3 linked regions of the Elephas maximus indicus genome follow. Each later gene encodes a partner of the first gene's protein in a complex. Links are inferred from orthologs where the notes say so. Each region holds a gene or a part of one and is shown on either strand. Other genes may lie near its edges.

Region 1 (7,911 bases):
AACTGACAGTTCATGATAATCTCCCTGCCTTAAAGAACAAGGGCATCTATTTTGCCTTAATCATCTTTGGAGCCCTACAATAGTACAATTCCTGGTACACAGTAGGTGCTCAAAAATGTTTTTTATAAATCACTCTTCTTCCCCCACTAGCATCAGCTAACCCAGTACCCAGTGCCGCAAAGTATTAGATGAAACGAAAACTGTAAAATCTCATTATTTCACATTTGGGGTCTCTAAGCCTTTACAACATAAACAAGGGACTTAATAAAGGAATAAATGTTTACAACCAAATGTAAGGGGAATATTTATGTTACTTAAATATTTCAAGTACTTTACAAATTAACTGGTACATTAATTACAATAACTCTGTTGAAATGGGCCTAACCTTTAGTCAGCATTACTTTGTCAGCCGAGTTGGAGTCATCGAACGTACCAGAAAGCAATAAAATCACAGTCGTAGTACAAAGGGCACTGGACTAGCACCTAGATCCCAGTAGAAACTCTGTTAATAACCAGATATATAACCTTGGGCAATTCATTTTTTTCTTCTTTGGGTCTTAAGTCATCTACTTGTAAAAACAAGAGAGCTAAACTACCAATCACCTGGGACTTTTCCAGTCTAAAAAAAAAATTTTTTTTTATCCACAAAGATTCTATAATTCAGGTTCTGTAGTGTCAAATTTGATTTTCTGAATGTTATAGTTTGTTACATTATCTGACAATCAAGAAGCTTACAACATTTTCTAAAACTAAATACCATAAAGACCAGCAACATAAATCATTTTTACCGTATTTTGGAAACCCTGGTGGCGTAGTGGTTAAGTGCTACAGCTGCTAACCAAAGGGTCCGCAGTTGGAATCTGCCAGGCGCTCTTTGGAAACTCTATAGGGCAGCTCTACACGGTCCCATAGGGTCACTGAGTCAGAATCCACTTTACGGCACTGGGTTTGGTTTGGTTTGGTTTTTATATTAGGAGCAACAGGAGAAAACCAAAGGAAAAACGTGAGCCTCCAATAATCACGCCTGCCTTGCCACTTGGACTGACATGAACCACACTGGATTTTACAAAAGAAACCATAAAACTTTATACATACACACACCCCACTGATACATATTTATATTGACATATATGCACACATGAACTTTACAACGTTCTTAATTATAAAATACTTGTTTATGGTAAGAAATTCCAACAGTACATTAGGCCACATGTGAACTGCAAATTAAAAGTCTCCCAACATTTTTTTAACCTAACTGTTGCCACTTCTAATGATGGGGGGAAAATCTCAAGCACTGGCTTCTTAACTATAGTAAATACGCTGAAGTGGTACTCGGTAGAGCTAGGGCTTCGCATAGTCACTGGCACAAACTAGTATACACTTCAGGTATGTGCACTGAACTGAACACATTTCATTTTCGTACTTGGAGGCTATGTGGAACAGTTGCACAGAAGGAACTGTAAGCAAGGAGCCAGACAACCTGGAGTCTAACTAACAGAGTGACCTTTAGGGAAGCCATGAAATCTCCCTATACCTTAATTTCTGCTTTTGTAAAATCACAAGGTTGGCCTAAGATCCCTTTCAACTCTAAAATGTTATAATTCTAAGATGGCCGTCTCTAACAGCGTTCTCTTGAACTGATCGCAACAATTATTAAGAAAAAAAGAAGAAACACTATAGCAATCTTTTACCTTCAATAATTCTTTTACCTTAGCAGAGTAAATTTCTGACTCCTTAGTTATCAAAGTATAGTTGTGAGAGAAGTAGTTATATAGTTATATTTGAAAGCAAAGTAGTAAATAATTAAAATCTGATAGTTTTTTTTAACTAAGCTTCGATTGGCGTTTTCCTTTTTTGGAGGTGGGGAAGACTGTTGCTTAGTTTTAGCAATAATCACTACCCCCCCCCCAAAAAAACCAAACAATTAAGTGTATTATAGAGTTAAAATAATGAAACTGAAAGTTAAATTGATATTTTGTTTTACTCACAGAATATGCTGGGGAGGTGACTTGGGCAGCAAAGGTTGGAAAAAATTACTAGCTAATTTCCTCTTCCAGATGCTCTTTGGCCCCTATTCTTTCAGTATCACACAACCTTGCCAGACAAATTCCACCCTGCTCCACACAGGCCGCGGGCATCACACTGTGGGAGGAGGGTGTCCCTCTGATCAGAAAAAAAAAGTTCTTGGAGCTTTGGGTTCACGGGGTTAGGGAGGCGGCCGGGCAGGCCTGGAGGCAGCCACCCGCTCAAGGCTTGCTTGGCCAGTCCCGGGTGCCCCGGCCAGGAGCCTTCCTGCCCTCCCCCGCAGCGCCGGGCCCCAGGGCCAGGGAGGGGAAGGGAGAGGAGGAGGAGAGCAGGGCAGAAGGGGGAGGAGAGGAGCCCGCACCGGCAGTACCCACCGTGCCTGGGGAGCGTGCCGGATCGCCAGCGGCGCCAGCCGGGGTCCCGCGGGGTGGGTCCCGGAGAAGGGGCGGCCCGAGCCCCAATCTGCAAAAGCCAACTCGCTCTGCGGCCCGGCCCCTGCCTAGAAGGAAACGGAAGTGCCTTCGTCGCCCTCACTCGCGTCCAACAGCCGGCCCATCCCCGAGAGGAACCCTAAGTCGGGGCCCCGAAGCGCGTCCACGTCGGGGCGTCACAGAGGCACCGGGCGCGCGCCCTCCTTCTCCCAGCCCGAGCCGCGCCACGGGGCCTCCGCAGCCTCCTGTCCACCCGCCCCCGCCGGGAGGTCGGCCTCCCGCCCTGCAAAGCCCCACCTTCTTCCCCCCTCCGCCATTTTCGAACTTACCTTGCGGACCCTGGCGTCCTTCGGTGAGCTCCGCGCCCGCCGAGATGCCCACACGGTCCTGCCACTCCTCTGCGCGGGAAGGGGGCGGCCAAGGAAAATGAAACCCTGTTCTCTCCCCACCCCCTACCCGGGTGGGAACCAGAACCTGCCGAAGCGGGCGCACATGCGCGATGGGCACCTCGCAGTCCCCGCCCCTAGCTCTAGTTTTTCCTCTCAGCTTCCAGGATGTTTTTTCCCACGGCTTTTACCTGCTCGGCTGTGGGGTTGAGGAGTAGGGGAAGGAGACGTAAAGCAATGAAAAAGAGGAGGGAGAAGGGAACGAACTTGTTGAGTTCTTACTGTAGACCAGGCACTGCCAGACATAGAACGTGTCATTTGCGGTCATTTTGAGTAGGCGGGAACCCTAGTGGCGTAGTGGTTAAGTGCTACGGCTGCTAACCAGAAGGTCGATAAGTTCAAATCCACCAGGCGCTCCCTTGGAAACTCTACGGGGCAGTTCTACTCTGTCTTATGGGGTCGCTCTGAGTCGGAATCGACTCGATAGAAATGGATTTTTGTGTTTTATGAGGTAGGCACTGTCTTATTAAACCCATTTTATACCAAGAACTGAGGCCCAAAGAGGATAACTATCCTGAAATCACGCAGCTAATAAACGAGGGAAATGCAATTAGAATAGAAACTGTTTTCCAAGGAGAAAAGATGAGAGGAATGACAGGAGGAGAGAGAGAGAGAACAAAAGGCATTGGGAGACAAAGGAAAATGAATAGGGACAAAGGAAAGCAGGAGGGGAAACAAAGGAAGTGTAGGCACATAATATACTGACCATACCCCAGATTTATTTCACATATGCTGTAGGATTGTCAGACCTACATATGAACTTTTGTTCAGGAACTTGGGCTCTCCTACAGGCTAGTGTAAGATGATAAGCTCTGAATGAGACGGTTTAATTTCAAGAGAAAGATCATAAATATCACCTGCATCCTCAAATGATGCAGCCCCTAATGAAAAGGGAACTTGGAGGGAGGAGAGGAAAGAATTTTCTTTTTGAATCTTAGGCTTTTGCTTAAGTTGTTATTATTCTTTGTGATTCTCTCCCACTGTCACAGCTCTGGTAATCTCACATCTGATTTATTGTAATAATAGTAATTTTGAGCAAATGTTTCTTGTTTAATTCTCATAACAGTCTTATGAAGTATGGAACTGTTTTTATCCCCATTTAACAGATGAGGAAACAGAGGCTTAGAGAGTTTAAGTATAAGCAGGAGCTAGAGCAGCGATTCAAACCCCAATCTGTCTGATTACATGTACGTTTGACCATTACAAAGTCTCCTAACTGGCTTCTCTGCCCAGAGGCTGGATCCCCCAATCTAGCCTGTACAAAGCCATATGGGTTAAGCCCTTTAACACTTCTACCGCCTCCAGGATAATGTCAGAACTCCTTAGCTTCATGTTCACTCTCCCCTTGGACCCCTACCCTATGTTACAACAAAATGGAACTACTCACGGTGCCCCTGCCTATCCCCAGCTTTCCTGCCTTCTGTTAATTGGTGATCCTATTATTTTCTGCTTTTAATTTTTTTTTATACCATATGTTTTCATTAATGGAAGTATGCTGAGTCATGGGGTGTGTTTAAATTTTTGGTGGGTAATATGGATTTTGAAAAATATCTGGACCTACATGGCTACCACTGAACTTGCTGTGTTCTCAAGCCAGCTGATTGACGGGTGACCATTTGTCCCAATGAACTTTGGTTGATGAAAATAAGATGGGGCGCCTTCCATTAGGTTACACGCAGGAACTTCTGGTTTTCCAAATATGACACAAAAAAACAAAACCAAGCCTATCAGGCCACCCTAACTAACACCCTGCCCAAAAAAAAAAAAAAAAACTGTTGCCCTCAAGTTGACTCTAGCTCATAGCAACCATATATATATATATATATATATATATATATATATATAAATTTACTATATAGGAAACCACAAATATGCTTACAAAGGTTATGCAGGGATACAAAAGCCAAAAGAGACAAACTTTTTACGCAATCACACTTCTGGGTTGCACTACTTGCAAGTTTCATACTCCAAATATTTTACTTCAACAAACTTTTCTTTCACCTTTCGCCTTTACGCAATCCCCACTGAAGGGCAGCAAATACTTCCAGCAGGAAAAGCATACACCCAAAGAACTGCAGAGGCATAAAAAGTGTTTTTTTTAAAAAAAAAAAAAAAAAACCATTGCAGTGAGTCCATTCCAACTCACAGTCACCCTATATGACACAGTAGAACTGCCCCAGAGAGTTTCCAAGGAATGCTTGGTGGATTCAAACTGCCAACCTTTTGGTTAGCAGCTGTAACTCTTAAAGACTACCCACGAGGGTTTCCAAAAATCGGATTATCTATGTTCACAGGTCACCAAAGGGTTAATTCCTTCTAACTGCTTCCTCTACCTAGGTAAAAAGACTTCCTCACACCAAGCCTTCTCTGATTCCCTTAGCCAAAGATCATCTCTTTTTTCTTCTAAAGTCTCCTAGCGCTTGAATTTGTGCCTGTTATGGAGCACAATGCTTTCTGCCCTGTAGTGTAGTTACTTGTGTACATGCCTTATCTCTCCTATATTGTAAGCTCATTCATGGCAAGATCAATGTCTACCTCATTTTTGTAATTCCTCCAAAACCCTTGGAGTCATCTTTAATACCTCTTTCTTGTTTGTATCCCATATCAAGTCCATCAGCAAATTCTGTCATCTCTATTTTCAAAATAACATATACCCAGAAGATCACTAATTCTCACCAACTCCACCAATATGACCCCAGTCCATCTCTTTCTTGGTTGACTATAATAGCCTCCTCACTGATGTCCCAGTTTACACTTTTACTCCTCTCTAGTCTATTTCACACAGTAGCCAGAGTTATCCTAATAAAATATAAGTCAGGTCATTGTCATTTCTCTGCTTGAATCCCTTCAATGACTCCTCATTTCACTCAAAATAAAAACTGCAGTTTTATCATGGCCTTTATAAAGCCTGTGCTAGCCAGTCACCAAGATGAGCCCCAATGATTTTCACCTCTTGCTAGTCACATCCTTGGGTAGGTCCCTTCTACGTTGAACCAGGACTGACTAGTGTGGCCAATAGAATACAGTGGAAATGATGGTATGTGACTTATAATACTAAGACATAAAAAGCCATTGTGACTTCTGCCTTACTCTTTCTTGGATTGCTTGCTCTGGGGGAAGCCAGTTGTCATGTCCTGAGGGTACTCAAACAGTGAATGGAGAGGCCCACACAAGGAGACTGAGCCCCACATCCCTCAGTTTCCTCCACTGATGGCAGGCACCAACTTGCTAAATATGTGAATGAGCTACTTTGCAACAGGAAATTTTCGCCCCAGGCTTCAGATGACTAGTCTCTTGAGACCCAGAGCCGGAACCACCCAGCTAAGCCATACTCTTAAATTCCTGTGTATTGTTATTTTAAGTAGCTAGATTTTAGGGCAATTTGTTACACAGCAGCAGATAACTAATCACAAAGGCCCTGCAGGGGTCTGGATTCCTGTTACCTTTATGCCCTTATCTCCTTGTTCCTTTAGCTTTCCTGCCTCAGGCAGGGCCTTTGCAGTTTGCTACTCTCTCTGCTCCAAACACTTCTGCCCGGAGCCAGATTTCTCTGTGGCTTGTCCTTCAACACCTTTAAGTCTTTGTTCAAATCACACCTTCTCAGTAAGTCCTATCCTGACCCCGCATTTAAAATGACAACTCCTCCTTCCAGCGCTCCCCATCTCCCTTCCCGTGCTCTATTTTTTTAATCTTTTTCCATGGCATCTATCACTTTATAACATACAATATGATTTACTTATATATTATGTTTATTTATTGTCTGTCTCCTCCATCCCATCCTTATTAGAATATAAGCTCCAAGAGGACGGGGATCTATCTGTTCACTGATCTAGTCCAAGTGCTTAGAACAGTGTCTGAAACAGAGTAAGTGCTCAAGAGAAATTTGCTGCAAGAGTGAGTAAAAATTTCATGAGCATACCAGATTCCTGATAGATACTTCTTGAGTGAGTTGTCAATTGTTCCTATAGCAAAGGCAGTTACACCTGGGGCATGGTGACTAGGTTTCATATGCCGGGACATACACAGAAAAATGCAAGCTACAATCTGTGAAGAGTATTGTTTTTTACTTGTATAAGTGTGTTTTGTTGTAATTCATTTTGGTTGAGGAGAGGAAACATTTAGATAGGGAAAGAATGAAGATATATAAACTTGAACCTTATAAAACTGACAATGTTTCAAACAGAAATTTCATATGATTCAACCTAATAGGTGAAAGGAAAATTAATGGTATAAAGAGAGGAAATGAGAAAGAGATGGAATCAAACCTAAGGAGAGGCATTAGCTTTGAATAGGAAGGAGGAAACATTTTCAGAGACTAAAGGACACAGGAAATGGAGATTAAGTAGAAGGGAATTTTGAAGGTGGTAGCCACACCTCAATGGCAGTTGAAAAGTAAAATGTGGGAGGGAAAAAAAAAAGCTGCAAAGTATCTGCTTAGGGGAACAGAAAAGATTTTAGAACAATGGGTTCCAAACATTTTCTCAAGTACTAGAGTCCTTTGTGCAAAAGCAGTAGTAAGTTAAACCTCAAATAATAAATTAGATGAACAGCAGAGCTACTTTGAATGAAGATGGGGGGTAAGGCGAGCCCCCCTTTCCAGGCCTTGCCCTTGGAGCCATCAGTTTTATGTAACTTCTTCTGGCAGAAAGGGGTGCACACCTGCATACGATTATTCCTGAGAACAGCCTCTGTGAAGATCATTCACTCATGTCCAACAACATCTACCAAGACCACCTGTCCCTCAGGCTTCTGACTTTTGCACTGGGTGTCTTGATGTCCAACCTCTCACTCCCTCCTTGGTGACAGAAAGACTGCAACTGTAATTTCCTCTCTTTGAGCAGTCATAAAGATGCCCACCTTTATCTTGTGTGTGTAAAACTAGCATCTCCAGCCAGCCCTCCCTTCCCCTTCTCTGCCTTTATCTTCCAGGAACTCAGTCATGCATTTCTGGAGACTTGTTTTTTGGTTGGGGTGAGGACAGAGGGGCTGCCTCTCATTTCAAGCTTAAG
Region 2 (7,565 bases), on another chromosome or scaffold:
AATTGACTATATCTGTGGAAAGAGACGATGGGAAAGCTCACTATCATCGGTCAGAACAAGGCCAGGGGCCGACTGTGGAACAGACCATCAATTGTTCATATGCAAGTTCAAGCTGAAACTGAAGAAAATCAGAGCAAGTCCACGAGAGTCAAAATATGACCTTGAGTATATCCCACCTGAATTCAGAGACTATCTCAAGAATAGATTTGACGCATTGAACACTAGTGACCGAAGACCAGACGAGTTGTGGAATGACATCAAGGACATCATCCATGAAGAAAGCAAGAGGTCACTGAAAAGACAGGAAAGAAAGAAAAGACCAAGATGGATGTCAGAGGAGAATCTGAAACTTGCTCTCGAGCGTTGAGCAGCTAAAGTAAAAGGAAGAATTGGTGAAGTGAAAGAACTGAACAGAAGATTTTAAAGGGCGTCTCGAGCAGACAAAGTATTATGACATGTGCAAAGAGCTGGAGGTGGAAAACCAAAAGGGAAGAACACGGTTGGCATTTCTCAAGCTGAAAGGACTGAAGAAAAAATTCAAGCCTCCAGTTGCTATAGTGAAGGATTCCATGGGGAAAATATTAAACGATGCAGGAAGCATCAAAAGAAGATGGAAGGAATACACGGAGTCATTATACCAAAAAGAATTAGTCGATATTCAACCATTTCAAGAGGTGGCATATGATCAGGAACCGATGGTACTGAAGGAAGGAGTCCAAGCTGCTCTGAAGGCGTTGGCGAAAAACAAGGCTCCAGGAATTGATGGAATATCAATTGAGATGTTTCAACAAACAGATGCAGCACTGGAGGTGCTCACTCACCTATGCCAAGAAATATGGAAGACAGTTTCCTGGCCAACTGACTGGAAGAGATCCATATTTATGCCTATTCCCAAGAAAGGTGATCCAACCGAATGTGGAAATTATAGAACAATATCATTAATATCACATGCAAGCAAAAGCTTGCTGAAGATCATTAAAAACAGCTGCAGCAGTGTATCGACAGGGAACTGCCAGAAATTCAGGCCGGTTTCAGAAGAGGATGTGGAACCAGGGATATCATTGCTGATATCAGATGGATCCTGGCTGAAAGCAGAGAATACCAGAAGGATGTTTACCTGTGTTTTTTTGACTATGCAAAGGCATTGAACTGTGTGGATCATAAAAAACTATGGCTAACATTGAGAAGAATGGGAAATCCAGAACACTTAATCGTGCTCATGAGGAACCTTTACATAAATCAAGAGGCATTTGTTCAGACAGAACAAGGTGATACTGATTGGTTTAAAGTCAGGAAAGGTGTTCGTCAGGGTGTATTCTTTCACCATGCCTATTCAATCTGTATGCTGAGCAAATAATCTGAGAAGCTGGACTATATGAAGAACGGGGCATCAGAATTGGAGGAAGATTCATAAACAACCTGCGTTATGCAGATGACACAGCCTTGCTTGCTGAAAGTGAAGAGAATTTGAAGCACTTACTAATGAAGATCAAAAACCACAGCCTTCAGTATGGATTGCGCCTCAACATAAAGAAAACAAAAATCTTCACAACTGGACCAATGAGCAACATCACGATAAACGGAGAAAAGACTGAATTTGTCAAGGATTTCACTTTACTTGGATCCACAATCAACAGCCATGGAAGCAGCAGTCAAGTATCAAAAGACACAGTGCGTTGGGCTAATCTGCTGCAAAGGACCTCTTCAAAATGTTGAAGAGCAAAGATGTCACCTTGAAGACTAAGGTGCACCTGACCCAAGCTATGGTATTTTCAATAGCACCATATGCATGTGAAAGCTGGACATGAATAAGGACGACCGAAGAAGAACTGACCAACGCCTTTGAATTGTGGTGTTGGCGAAGAATATTGAATATACCATGGACTGCCAAAAGAAGAAGTACAGCCAGAATGTTCCTTAGAGGCAAGGATGGCGAAACTGTGTCTTACATAACTTTGGACATGTCGTCAGGAGGGATCAGTCCCCGGAGAAGGACATCATGCTTGGCAGAATTCAGGGTCAGCGGAAAAGAGGAAGACCCTCAGTGAGGTGGACTGACACAGTGGCTGCAACAATGAGCTGAAGCATAACAACGATTTTAAGGATGGCTCAGGACCCCGCAGTGTTTCGTTCTGTTGTGCATAGGGTTGCTATGAGTCGGAACCAACTCGATGGCCCCTAACAACAACAATATATATTTATTTTATATTTAAACCTTTTAACTTTTTATTGAAGTATAATATACATTGAGCAAAGTGTACATAAATCTAACCTCAAAGAATTTTCATAAACTGAACACACTCATGTAACTGGCACCTAAAATCTAGGTTCTACATCAAGAAACAGAATATTACTAGCACCCCAGAAGCCTTATCATGTCCCCTTCTACTCACTACATCCCCCCACAAGAGTAACCACTGTCTTAATTTCTCACAGCATAGATTAATTTATTTTACACTTTATGTTAATGGACTTATCAGTACGTTCTCTTCTGTGTCTGCCTTTTTTCATACAATATTATTGTAGATTGTTCAATCTCATTGACTTTAGTGTTCTATTGTGTAAATGAAGCACAATTTATCCATTTCTTCTGTTAATGGGCTATATATAATTTGAGGCTATCATAAGTCACACTGTTATAGACATTCTAGCATATACATACATAGGCCCACATATCTATGAGAGGAATTGCTGGTTCATAGGGGCTACATATGTTCAACTTTAGCCCTACAATTTTCACCTGTTCACCACCACAGAACTGTTTAAAGAAGTGTTGTTTCCTTACTTGTATAATTTTTATTTTTCATAGAATAGTAATTGCCTTATTTTTTTCAGTTCTATGTCCAGTTTTTCAGACATATTTCATTAGATCTATCAAACACCTATTAATACAGTCTCCCAAATACTCAAAATTAGATCATCTATAAATTTAAATATTTTTCTAAAGCCTTTCCTCTTGAAGCCTTCCATCCTCCTGTCCCATTGAAAATGGGTTTCTCCCCACTCTGACACATGCCCTGGGGTTTCACTTCTCCATTCTCCTGATCCTGGTTTTCTGGAACCCATGTTTTGTTTTTTTCTTTTCTGGCTTACACCCATGTTTTGTTGGGGTACATACTTTAGTAGCTTTCTAAAACAAGGCTAATGGAAAGCAAATATTTGTACCCCTGTATATGTGCAAATGTTTATTTCACCCTTATACTTGTTAGATAGTTCAGCTGACTATAAAATTCAAGGTTGGAAGCCAATTTCCTTCATAATTTTGAAGAAATTTCACTCCATTGTTTTTTTTAGCTCACAATATTATTTAAAAAAAAAAACTCAGTGCCATCGAGTCGATTCCGACTCATAGCAACCCTATATAATTATTTAAAAAAATATATTATTACTCTTGATAAATCCAAGCCATGCTCCTTCCCATGCCTTTATTCTTGTTTCTTTCCTCTAAAAACTTTGAGTCTTCTCTTTATTCTTAATGTTTTGATCTTCTTAAGAATGTGCTTTAATGTAGGTTTTTCAGTTCACTGTGGACACCAGGTGAGTCATTTCAATATGGAGACCCTTGTCCTTCAGTCCTGGCAAAATTTCTTCAATTATTATTGTGATCATTCCCTCCCTGCTGATTTTTTTGTTCTCTTTTTCTGGAACTCTTAGTTTGTGAGATGGATGGATGGCTCAATGAGAAAGTTTTCTGAGTACTTTTAGGAGCAAAAAGTTCAACAACAAACAATAAAGCACAGCACAGCAGATCATATCTTCAAAGCTAAGCAATTTGTTTTAAATCATCAAAATTTTAAACATAACATTTCTTTACAATTTCCCGCTGTGCACAAATACAGGAAGGACTGGTTCTCTGTACGCAGAAGTCCTTTATTCAAGTCAGGCATTTCTTTTTACTGCATTACAATTCACTAAATTCCTAGTATGGACTTGGAGTTGTATATAATATTTGCACTCACGATATAATCACTTAAGTAGAAAAGTGGGACTTTTGGTTTTGTCTTTGTTTTTAAGTGGAAAAATGGAAAGATGTTTGCAGTCTTTTTCGGTTGGCATTAGACACTGCTTGCAATCCTCTTTTATCTATAAAAAAGAAATCTTTGCACTCTTATCTGGAGTTAGATGGATTTTCTCAGGTTCATTTTCAATCCCGATATATTATTATGGACATTGGAAAAGAGGAGGAAGAAAACCAGATTCCTAGTAGGCGGGCGTGTGCCCAGAGCAAAACACAGCCGAGGGTATTCCGCTCTGAGGAGATTTATCACCTTTCCCTCACTCGTCAAGTGGCTGCAAGTGAAGGAAGACTGGAGTCCAGGTTCGCAGTGGCATAGGGGTTAAGTGCTACGGCTGCTAACCAAAATGCTGGCAGTTCGAATCCACCAGGCGCTCCTTGCTATGGGGCAGCTCTACCCTGTCCTATAGGGTCACTAAGGGTCAGAATCTACTCGTCGGCCACGGGTTTGCCTGCCGTGGAACACGGCGCGCTCCGCGAAGCGCTCCTCGCGCAGGCGCAGAGTAGGGAGCCGGGATCACGCCCCTACCTCTGGAGTTTGGCTACTCTCCCGACTGCACGCGGCCGAGACAGAGAATCCACCCGAGTGGGGGCTCCCGCTGACCAATCACACACCCGCCAGCCGGCTGCGTTGAGGAACTTTCCCAAAAGGAAGACTTTTCCATATTCGGAGAGGGGTGAAGACAAAAGGAGTGCCACTGGCTGCCTCGCCCCCGCGCCCTAGCCCCGCCAGAATCGGACAGACAGTGGGGGCCGCAGGCTGAGACGAGCGCCTTCCCCGGAGGACGCAGGCGGACGCCCCCCTCTGCTAGCCCGCTGACGTCGCCTGAGAAGTTTGGAGAGGGAGGAGCTCGGCGCCGGGGTTCGCCGGCGGGGCGCGCCTGGGAGGGCCCAGTCTAGGAGAGGAAGCTCCTCCTCGCCGCGGCGCTGAAGACTTGACCCCACTTTCCAGAAAAGTGTGCTGAGGCCGGGGAAAAGCAGCCGGCAGCGCGGGGTCCGACGGCGGCGGGCGTGGGCCGCCTGGGAATGGGCGGCCTTGTGACCTAGTATTTGGGAGCAGGAACACCTCCCGTCCGCCTGGCGCCGGAGCGGACCCAAGCGCGCGCGTGCCGGGGAGCCGCGGGAGCAGAGAGCGCACCCGGAACGGGCCTTCGGCCTGAGTGCCCGCGCCGCCAGCGACCATGAACGGGGAGGCCATCTGCAGCGCCCTGCCCACCATTCCCTACCAGAAGCTCGCCGACCTGCGCTACCTGAGCCGCGGCGCCTCGGGCACCGTGTCGTCGGCCCGCCACTCGGACTGGCGTGTTCAGGTGGCCGTGAAGCATCTGCACATTCACACTCCGCTGCTCGACAGGTAGGGCGCCTAACTCGGCGGCACCCCCTCCCACGATATCCGCCCCGGGTAGGCGGACTGTAGAGCTCAAACGGCAGTGACCGCCTGGGGTCGGCCCTCCCCGTCGTCATTTCTGGGCTAGTCCTTCAAAGCTTGGGGCTGGCAGGGTGGGAGGAACCAGCCTCTCGAGGTGCACACTCGGAATCGTCCGCTCATCTCCTCTTCACTGCCTTCTCTCTGCGTCCCGCCGTTCCTCCTCTGACTTTCCTAGGCTGGTACCATATACCAGAGACCTGCCATCACAGCCCATCTCGAAATGCCCGATGTATTGAAATTGAGTTCTTTATGTAGTGGGTTTGTTTTTGTTTGCTTTTTTTTTTTTTTCTCGTTTTTTTGAAAGTGGGCTCTAGGGCTGTGCTGTCCAATAGGTAGGCAGTTGTTAGCCATAGGCAGCTGTTGAGCGACTGGTCAGTCGAACGGAAATGTGCTTTGTCAGTGTAAGATACACACCGGATTTCGAAGATTTAGTACAAAGAAACGAATTTAAACTAACTCATCAGTATTTTTATATCGATTGCGTCTTCAAATAATAATGCGGATATATTTGGTTAAATAAAAGATGTTACCAAAATTCATTTCATCTGGGGTTTTCTGTGTGTGTGTTGTTTTATTAGAGTTTTTTGTTGTTTTTTACTTTTTTTAATGTGACTTAGAAAATTTGAAATTACATTTGGGGCTGGCATAATTGGACAGCGCTGCTCTAGAGTTTTGAGATGTCTTGTTTTGGGGTTCTTGTAGTTTCTGTTTTGTTTGTGGTTCTTGTTTTCATGAAACTTTATCAACCTCAAAATTTGCAGTTAGTTTCTCCTCCTACTATTATGAGGAAGACTGTCTCTAGGAAAAAAGTGTGTATTTTTTTTTGTGGGAGCGATAAACTGTATCCAAAGAGTGTTAAGTGGCCAAAAAGTGTTTAGAGCCGTTCATCCTGGCATGATTGTAGTGTGATGTTCAGGTTTTAAGGAGCCCTGGTGATGCAGTGGTTAAGCACTTTGCTGATAACTGAAAGGTCAGTGATTTGAACCCACCACCAGCTCTGTGGGAGAAAGATGTGGCACGCTGTTTCCCTGAAGATTTACAGCCTTGGAAATCCAATGGGGCAGTTATATATATATTATAATTCATAGGGCCACTGTGAGTCTGAATCAACTCCATCGCAGTGGATTTGTTTGGACATTTGGTGGTGGTTTTGTTTTAGCATTAGTTTCTCTTTCCGAAGAGAAAAGCCTTACTGTAAACCCTTACGGTAAACGTGTGTGTATGCAGTAGTCAGTGGTCTAGTCACTAGTTCGGTATTCTATCTTTCCCAAAGGAATTTAACAAGGGCCTGCATTCAGTTCTCAGTGACCTAACATTCATGATTACAACATTATCTTATCTAATGTGAGAATACATCACGCTCGATGCCTGACTGGCCAGAGGCTGTTAGTATCCAGTATCGGATACATTCCTCAACTTTCAGCCCAGCCAACGTTATCATACTTCCACCTGCCTGTGGCTTTCTTTGCTGTCTCTCACTACCAGCGTTGGGTGGACTAGATCTCACAGCAGATTTCAGACACTTCTGGAGATTGTTCCCACCTTTTTATATACTATAGTCCACATCCAGTGATGTGCAGGGTGTGGTGTCTGTTTACACTAGGTCTTGAATTCTGTGGGGCAAGTGCTGGGCAAGTGTGTGTAGTCAACTCTAGAGGGTGGTGGCTGGTCAGAGAGGGTGGATATATTCTAGAACTAACTAGGTAGATGGTATATGGAAATCTAGCACTGATGGACCCATTAAATATTTTAAAGCAAATTGATCCTTCTTCTGTTTCGGATGCTGCTTCTCAAGATTTTAGTTTACCTGAAATTTTGTGCTGTTTGAGGGGCCAAGGAGTTAAGAAAGAGCTCCCTTTCCATGCTCATACAATTTTCGTAGTCCAAAAATTTTTACCAAGTTAGGTAGAAAATTAATTGTCTTCTAAGAAGCCATAAAGAACCTTGGTAGTGCGGTGGTTAAGGGCTTGACTACTAACTGAGAGGTGGTTGTTTCAAACCCACCTAGCAGCTTTGCAGAAGAAAGACCTGGCAATGTGCGTCCATAAAGATTACAGCCAAGAAAACTCTACGAGACAGTTCTGCTCTGTCACACGGGGTCACTATAAGTCAGAATCCACT
Region 3 (7,164 bases), on another chromosome or scaffold:
GTCCTTTGAAACAGGTATATGGAGAAAAGGGCATTAGCCAGATCAATAACAGCATACCAGGTACCGGGAGATGTATTAATTTGCTCAAGCAGTAAATTACATCCGGAACAGCAGGTGTAATTGGAGCAACCACCTAGTTAAGTTTTCAATAATCTACTGTCATTTTCCAAGATCCATCTGTTTTCTACACAGGTCAAATAGGCGAGTTGAATGCGGGTGTGGTGGGAATCATCACCCCTGCATCCTTCAAGTCCTTAATGGTGGCAGTAATCTCTGCAGTACCTCCAGGGATGCGGTATTGGTTTTCGTTTACTATTTTCCTAGGTAAGGCCAGTTCTAAGGATTTCTCTTGGCTTTTCCTACCATAATAGCCCTTACTCTATTTGTCAGGGATCCAATATGGGGGTTCTGCCAGTTGCTGAGTATATCTATTTAAATTATGCATTCTGGAACTGGGGAAATCACTACAGCATGAGTTTGGGGACCCACTGGACCTACTGTGAGATGGACGTAAGCTAAGACTCCATTAATAACCTGACCTCCATATGCCCCTACTCTGGTGGGCCACAGTGAAGTTTTGGGTCTCCTGGAATTAGTGTCAGTTAAGAGCCAGTGTCCAGTAATCCCTGAAAAGTCTGATTATTTCCCTTTCCTCAATGAACAGTTGGAAACCCTGGTGGCGTAGTGGGTAAGTGCTACGGCTGCTAAACAAGAGGTCGACAGTTCAAACCCACCAGGTGCTCCTTGGAAACTCTATGGGGCAGTTGTACTCTGTCCTATAGGGTCGCTGTGAGTCAGAATCGACTCGGCGGCAACAGGTTTGGTTTTTGGTTTAATGAACAGTCACTCATAAAAGGCCGTAGATCCCTTTGGGGAAAGCTGGGAGAAAAATTAACAGTAAAAGTTTTTAGCAGTGTATTGGAGTCATTCCTCAAGGGGACACAGCCTCTCCTTCATTCAAGGGGTTGTGGGTCTTTAGACTCACTCAAAGCTGGGAACTAACTAGTGACTCTCTATTCTGCCCATTCAAGTTACACTGCTATTCATCTAAACTAGAATTCATCTGTTTGTACAGATCAAGTAAATATTTCATAGTCTTCCGATCTGTTTCACTCCTAGGAACACCTTGACTAAGTAGCCAATGCTGTAAGTCCATAAAAGGCAGATTTTCTGATTACTGCTTTGACTCTGCAGTCCACTACTGTGACCACACCCACCTTGTCTTTGTCGATTGAGTGCAGCCACTTGGCCCCTACTATCACAGGGTCCAGTGAGCTTCATTTTAGTGTCTTAATTCAGTTAGGGTAGTTCCCACTGTCAAATCTGATTTACTTAAGATAGCAATCACAGCAGTCTTCAAGGATCCCGGAGCTCCCTTCACAAATTTGTTCCTCACAGTTGTGGTAAAAGGTGTGTCCTCTGGTACTCCATGTGTGAGTCTGTGGGTCTAACCTAATAAATCCACTCCAGCATACCAATTTCCCTAAGCCTTTGGATACCTTCTTCTACAGTATACCAATGTAGATCCAGTACTTCAACTTGATTTAGTGTAAGCCACCTCGTAATCCATGCTTCAGGGACCCAAACAAATAAACCATTAGATCCTTTCCTAACTTCTTGAGCTGAAACATGGAATAAAGGATCTGTGCTTAGTGGACCCATATCAATAAACTCAGACTGATCCATCTCGATCTTCATTGCGCCATTATCCCAAACCCTTTATAGCCATTCCCACACATTCCCCAGGTGTTTTTTGGTACATATTAGAAAAGTCAAGCAGGTCTTTTGGAATGTAGCATACCTCCTCCTGAGTCATACTTTGTACTTCACCTTTTGGGACTGGCTGGGACTTAAGTCTAGTTACAGGTCTAGAAGCCAGAATCCATAGTGTGAAATTGTTTTGAGAACATTCAGCATTGTCTTGTAAAGCATCTGCCTCAGTCAATGCCCCAGGCAGTGACTCAGGCAAGGGCTCTTTAGAGGCAGCTGGGCTAGGGCTAATCTCATTAGATAGGAGTGGAGGAGGTAATGGTTTTTCTGGGCAGAGTGGTTTAGCAGAGAAACATGAAGTAATCTCTTCAGCTGGGATTGGTTCTGCTGGCAGGAATGATTTAATGGAATATAGGGGCTGTGTCTCCAGCTTCCTGATTATCTGCCCATACGTCCCCATCCCAAGTTTCAGGATCCCATTTCTTCCCAATGCCCTTACTTTAACTTCAGACTCCTCTCAAGGTTGACAGTTGAGCTGGGCTTGTAATTCAGTCACTCTTACAGTAAGACTCTGAGTTTGGTTTCCAGAAATTTCAGCTCTGTTACTACAAGAAATAAGGCTTTTTTTTTTTCAAATCACAAGTGGAAGGATTGAGGTCATATATGTGGCACTTGAGCTTTAACTCTGAAGCCCTGAGCACATCTCTTTAACCAGTTTGTCTACCTACCAACCTACCAGCTTTCTTATACTTTTCATTCTAACAAAATTTAGAAAGATATCACGTGTGTTCATCCAGAGCCTTGCCTTTCACCAATACCTGATCTACTGGTGGTGATATTTTGCATAATTGTATTGCCACCTCACGCCATGAATTAGCAGTGCCCTCTTTATTGCTGGAAGTAGAGTCATCAACATCTTTAAGACTAACCAGACTTGAGAACCAATTTAGGAAACTCATCCTTACAATTCTGTTTCTCTAGAACCACTCTGTGTGCCAAATGTCTGAGGCTAGGTTCTCTAAGGAAGCAGAACTAGTAAAATATATAAATATATACATAGAGATTTATATCAAGGAAATGGCTTACACGAATGTAGAGGCTTGAACATCCCAAGTCTGTGGATCAGGATAGAGGCTTCTCTTGATTCACGTAGCCACAGGGGCTGGAGAACCCACGATCAGCAGGTCTGAGAACAGTGCTCTTGCTCACAGGCTGTGAAGATCGATGAATCTGAAAATCTGCAGATAAGCTAATAGCTCAAGTCCCAAGAGCCGGAGGTCAGACGAACAGGAGACAGCCGTAGGATCCAGAGTGAGCAAAAAAGCTAAAACGTCTGGTTATATTCGGATGTAGGCCACATCCCCAGGGAAAATCCCTTTCAACCGATGGAGTACTTACAGCAGATTCAATCATGAAGGTGATCACCCATAAACAGCCAAGTTAACACATAATCTTAACCATCACAATTGCCTAGAAAGTTCCTTTGCTTCTGGATAGCTTAGAGGAGACAAAGTAGAACTCTAGAAGACAAGTAGTAAGGACCAAGCTTCTTAAGAAGCAGTAGAGCAGAGTGGCAGGGAAAGCCTTGGATCTCCATCACGTAGCTCTGTGTCATAGAAAAAGTTACTCAGTAGGGGTTGCGTTTCCTGACTTTTAGGATTGTTCCAAAAATTAAAGATGCTTAACACAGTACCTATGAGTTGGAATCGACTTGATGACAACAGGTTTGGTTTTGTTTTTTTTTTTGGTTAACACAGTACCTAGTATGTAATAAGTGCTCGGTAAGTAGTAGCTGCTTACAAGGACTTGTTCACTGTGTGAGGTGAAAGAATGAAAGAAGAAACTTTAGCTTATACTTCCAGGTTTCGTAAACCAATTCACCACCCTAAATGAGAAGTTGGGATGCCAAAGCCCAGTTTAAGAATAAAAATTCTGTGGTAGGTTGGAATTTCCTGGTACTGTACCTCTTGGGAATTTAAGCATCGTATACTAGTGTTATGTGAGTTATACCATTTTGGTGCCAAGTTCTTTGTTTTTTCTTTTAGCAAGGTGAAAATAGTATAAAGTCTTCTTATTGACTGAAGGGCTGCGTTCTTAAAATGGCCTGATCTGTTGAAACAGAAATAAGCTGCAATCTATATCTTAATGTGGGAGGGGGCATACAAATGTAAAAATTTATCCAGGTGCACATTTATTTGTGCACTTTGTGTACTTCACTGTTAATATCTTGGTTAAAGGGAAGAAAGGAAGGAAGTAGAAAGGACATTGCTCAGCTCACAGAAACCTTTAGCAATAAAGGTGAAGCTTGGGTTAGGGTGGTAATGCTGATACAAAAATGTTCATATAAAGTACTAACATGCAGAAATAATCATTCGGATAATGAATATAGTGCAGTGGTTTTAGTGGTTTTATAATGGCTGATTTTGATTGACTTCTATTTTCTTTATATTCTAGTTAATAAAAGTATCCATGGAGAACACTGAAAACTCGGTGGATTCGAAATCCATTAAAAATTTGGAAACGTGAGTATTTAAATGGAACCCTGTATAATCAGAGAAAAATCGGTATGTTTAAATGGCAAACTGAGGAGTGGGGAAGCAGAGCGTATATGAGCTTTCTAGCCAGAGAGACCAAGTTGACTTCTTCCCTCAGACAGCTGTGTGACTTTACACAGTTAACCTCTCTGAATCTCATCCTTATAACTTTCGTGGAATTGTGAAGAGGATTAAGGGAGGCATCTAAAGATCAAGCACGGTGTCAGTCCCATAGTCAGAAACCCAGTCCTGGAACTGAAAGAATGCACCAGGAAAAACCAAACCCACAAGTTTAGTTGGTTCTGTACCTTCCCAGATTGCTCTGCTGAAGGATTATAGGTTTTGTGTTTGTGGGAAGTTTTTTGGCCTCCTGTTAATGTATAACTTTTAAGACTAAAATGAAACGGCAGCTCTCACTGCCTGTTGTCAGATGCCATCGAGTTGGTTTCAACTCAGAGCAACCCTATGCACAACCGAATGAAACACTGCCTGGTCCTGTGCCGTCCTCACACAATTGTTGCTATGCTTTGGCCCATGGTTGTAGCCACTGTGTCAGTCCATCTCGTTGAAGGCCTTCCTCTTTTTCGCTGACGCTCTGCTTTACCAAGCATGATGTCCTTCTCCAAGGACTGATCCCTCCTGACAACATGTCCAAAGTATGTGAGATGCAGTCTTGCCTTCCTTGCTTCTAAGGAGCATTCTGGTTGTACTTCTAAGACAGATTTTTTTGTTCTTTTGGCAGTCCACAGTATATTCAATATTCTTTGCCAACACCACAATTCAAAGGCGTCAGTTCTTCTTCAGTCTTTCTTATTCATTGTCTAGCTTTCACATTCATATGATGCTACTGAAAACACCATGGCTTGAGTCAGGTGCTCCTTGCTATTCAACACTTTAAAGAGGTATTTTGCAGCCGATTTGCCCAGTTCAATGTGTCTTTTGATTTCTTCGCTGCTACTTCTATGGGTGTTGATTGCGGATCCAAGTAAAATGAAATCCTTGACAACCTCGGTGTTCTCTCCATTTATCATGATGTTTCTCCGTTTATCATGATGTCCTTCTTCCTAGGCTGTCTTAGTCTGGAAGCTCAGCTGAAAGCTGTCCACCATGGGTGACCCTGCTGGTATTTGAATAACAATGTCATAGCTTCCAACATCACAGCAACACACAAGCCCCCACAGTACAATAAACTGACAGATGAAGTGTGGGGGTCTCAGTGCCTAGTTATGAATTATCTTTTACCCTTTGTTTTTCTCTGGTCTTTCTTTTTGGAATATTGTAATTATAAATGCTTCTAGTAACTATCAAGTTCAGGAGGGGAAAAAGTTAAAACTCAAATATTCTTAATTTAATTCATATCTATTATTATCGATTAGAATTTCTTGTGATACTTTTAATTCTAATAATTTCTTTCAGGGACTCAATATCCTCTGGGTTAACCCAAGAATTACAAATTAATTTTAGTACTAAACAATATTATTACAGCAATATTGTTAACAAGTTGTCAATAAAGATTTAAAACCAAAAAAACCAAACCCATTGCCATCAAGTTGATTCTGACTCACAGCGACCCTATGGGACAGAGTAGGACTGCCCCCATTGAGTTTCCAAGGAGCGCCTGGTGGGTTCGAACTGCCGACCATTTGGTTAGCAGCTGTAGCACTTAACCACTATGCCACCAGGGTTTCCAATAAAGATTTTTCAGTGTTTAATTACCTTTAGGGAACTGGGTTATAGGTAAAGGAATTATCCTAGAAATTGAGCCTTTGAAATGTAATTCCATTTAAAATATAATTCCATTAAAGTAGTTTTTGAAACCTTTGTAAAGTGATTTACACATTTTCCTTCCTACTTTTCATTATCATATAGAACATCACTTAAATAGCAAATTACTCGGGAGCCCAAAACAGGTTTAGGACCATTATGGTCCTATGATTAGTTACCTTCACATTTGCAAGCATTTTGGGTCTCTGTTCTTCATCAGGATCAGGTGTGTCCACTCTCAGTCTAGCTATCACACATTGCCGCCTGTCTCTTTAGGAGGGAAATGGGGCTTATAATTCTGTGACTCATTATCTAGGGGTCTCTGGGTGGTGCAAATGTTTTGTACTAGACTACTAACCAAAAGGTTGGTGGTACAGATTCACCCAGTGGTGCCATGGAAGAAGGACTGTGTGATTTAGTTTTATAAAGAAAGATTGCAGTCATTGAAAACCCTGTGGAGCACAACTTTACTCTGAAACGTGGGGTCACCATGAGTCAGAACTGACTTGATGGCAATGGGTTTGCATTTTTTTTTTGTTGTTTTTTGACCTCTCATTTCCTGATTCTTGGTCTAGATCAGGGTCAGGCTTGTGGTTTGCTTTTGTCAGGTTTTATGGACACAGCCACACTCATTCGTTTACATATTGTTCAGGGCTGTTTTCACCAGCAGAGTTAAGTAGCTGCAACAGAGACTCTATGGCCTATAAATCTAAAATACCATCTTGCCCTTTAAGAAAAAATTTGCAGATCTGTGGTTTTTGGATAAATGATCTCCAAACAAGTATTTTCAATTGTTTATAATAGTGCTTTTATGTATTAATAAATTATTAGTTTGTTCAGCTCATAGAGTTTAAGGAACAATTTATGAATTTTGATAAATATTGTGCTTTGAGTCATATTTGCATGTTTTTGGTTTCCTATAATTTGGGGGTAATTTTCAAGATATTGCTCTTAACTTGGAGGATAAAATACTTCACAGAATTAAAGTATAAAACCTATTCGAGGGCAGAGCAAACATGGCGCTATAGACAGAAGCACCACACTGTCCCTCCATCGCAAAGACCTAAAAAACTAAAACAGAGAAAACATCAATCCTGGAACCTTAAGCATCAAATGAAGAGATAATGCAACGTAGCATCAAATGGAATAAGAAAGT

The links.
Region 2: the proteins of XIAP (region 1) and RIPK2 are in contact, whole or in part, in a cryo-EM structure (PDB 8AZA), measured with the Homo sapiens proteins. The link is inferred for Elephas maximus indicus from reciprocal best matches to the Homo sapiens genes XIAP and RIPK2. Residues at the interface, in NP_001158.2 of Homo sapiens: Lys208, Asn209, Trp210, Glu211, Pro212, Cys213; in NP_003812.1 of Homo sapiens: His136, Asn137, Met138, Thr139, Pro141, Ile208, Asp278, Glu279, Arg280, Ser282, Lys285.
Region 3: the proteins of XIAP (region 1) and CASP3 are in contact, whole or in part, in a crystal structure (PDB 1I3O), measured with the Homo sapiens proteins. The link is inferred for Elephas maximus indicus from reciprocal best matches to the Homo sapiens genes XIAP and CASP3. Residues at the interface, in NP_001158.2 of Homo sapiens: Ala137, Leu140, Leu141, Gly144, Gln145, Val146, Val147, Asp148, Ile149, Ser150, Asp151, Thr152, Ile153, Tyr154, Asn226, Leu231, Gly232, Arg233, Asn234; in NP_001341706.1 of Homo sapiens: Tyr204, Trp206, Arg207, Asn208, Ser209, Lys210, Asp211, Trp214, Gln217, Lys242, Thr245, Glu246, Phe247, Glu248, Ser249, Phe250, Phe252, Thr255, Phe256.

Annotation. Positions count from the first base shown.
Region 1 is NC_064846.1:32,786,476-32,794,386, forward strand, and holds the start of XIAP (E3 ubiquitin-protein ligase XIAP), read right to left. Parts: upstream 3,008-7,911; 5' UTR 2,786-3,007; intron 2,525-2,785; 5' UTR 2,400-2,524; intron 2,394-2,399; exon of another isoform or gene 1,989-2,393; intron 1-1,988.
Region 2 is NC_064833.1:52,120,564-52,128,128, reverse strand, and holds the start of RIPK2 (receptor-interacting serine/threonine-protein kinase 2), read left to right. Parts: upstream 1-4,564; 5' UTR 4,565-5,196; coding exon 5,197-5,369; intron 5,370-7,565.
Region 3 is NC_064839.1:83,406,723-83,413,886, reverse strand, and holds the start of CASP3 (caspase-3), read left to right. Parts: upstream 1-4,163; 5' UTR 4,164-4,179; coding exon of another isoform or gene 4,180-4,232; intron 4,233-6,987; exon of another isoform or gene 6,988-7,017; 5' UTR 7,018-7,164. UniProt on the Homo sapiens protein: Thiol protease that acts as a major effector caspase involved in the execution phase of apoptosis. Following cleavage and activation by initiator caspases (CASP8, CASP9 and/or CASP10), mediates execution of apoptosis by catalyzing cleavage of many proteins.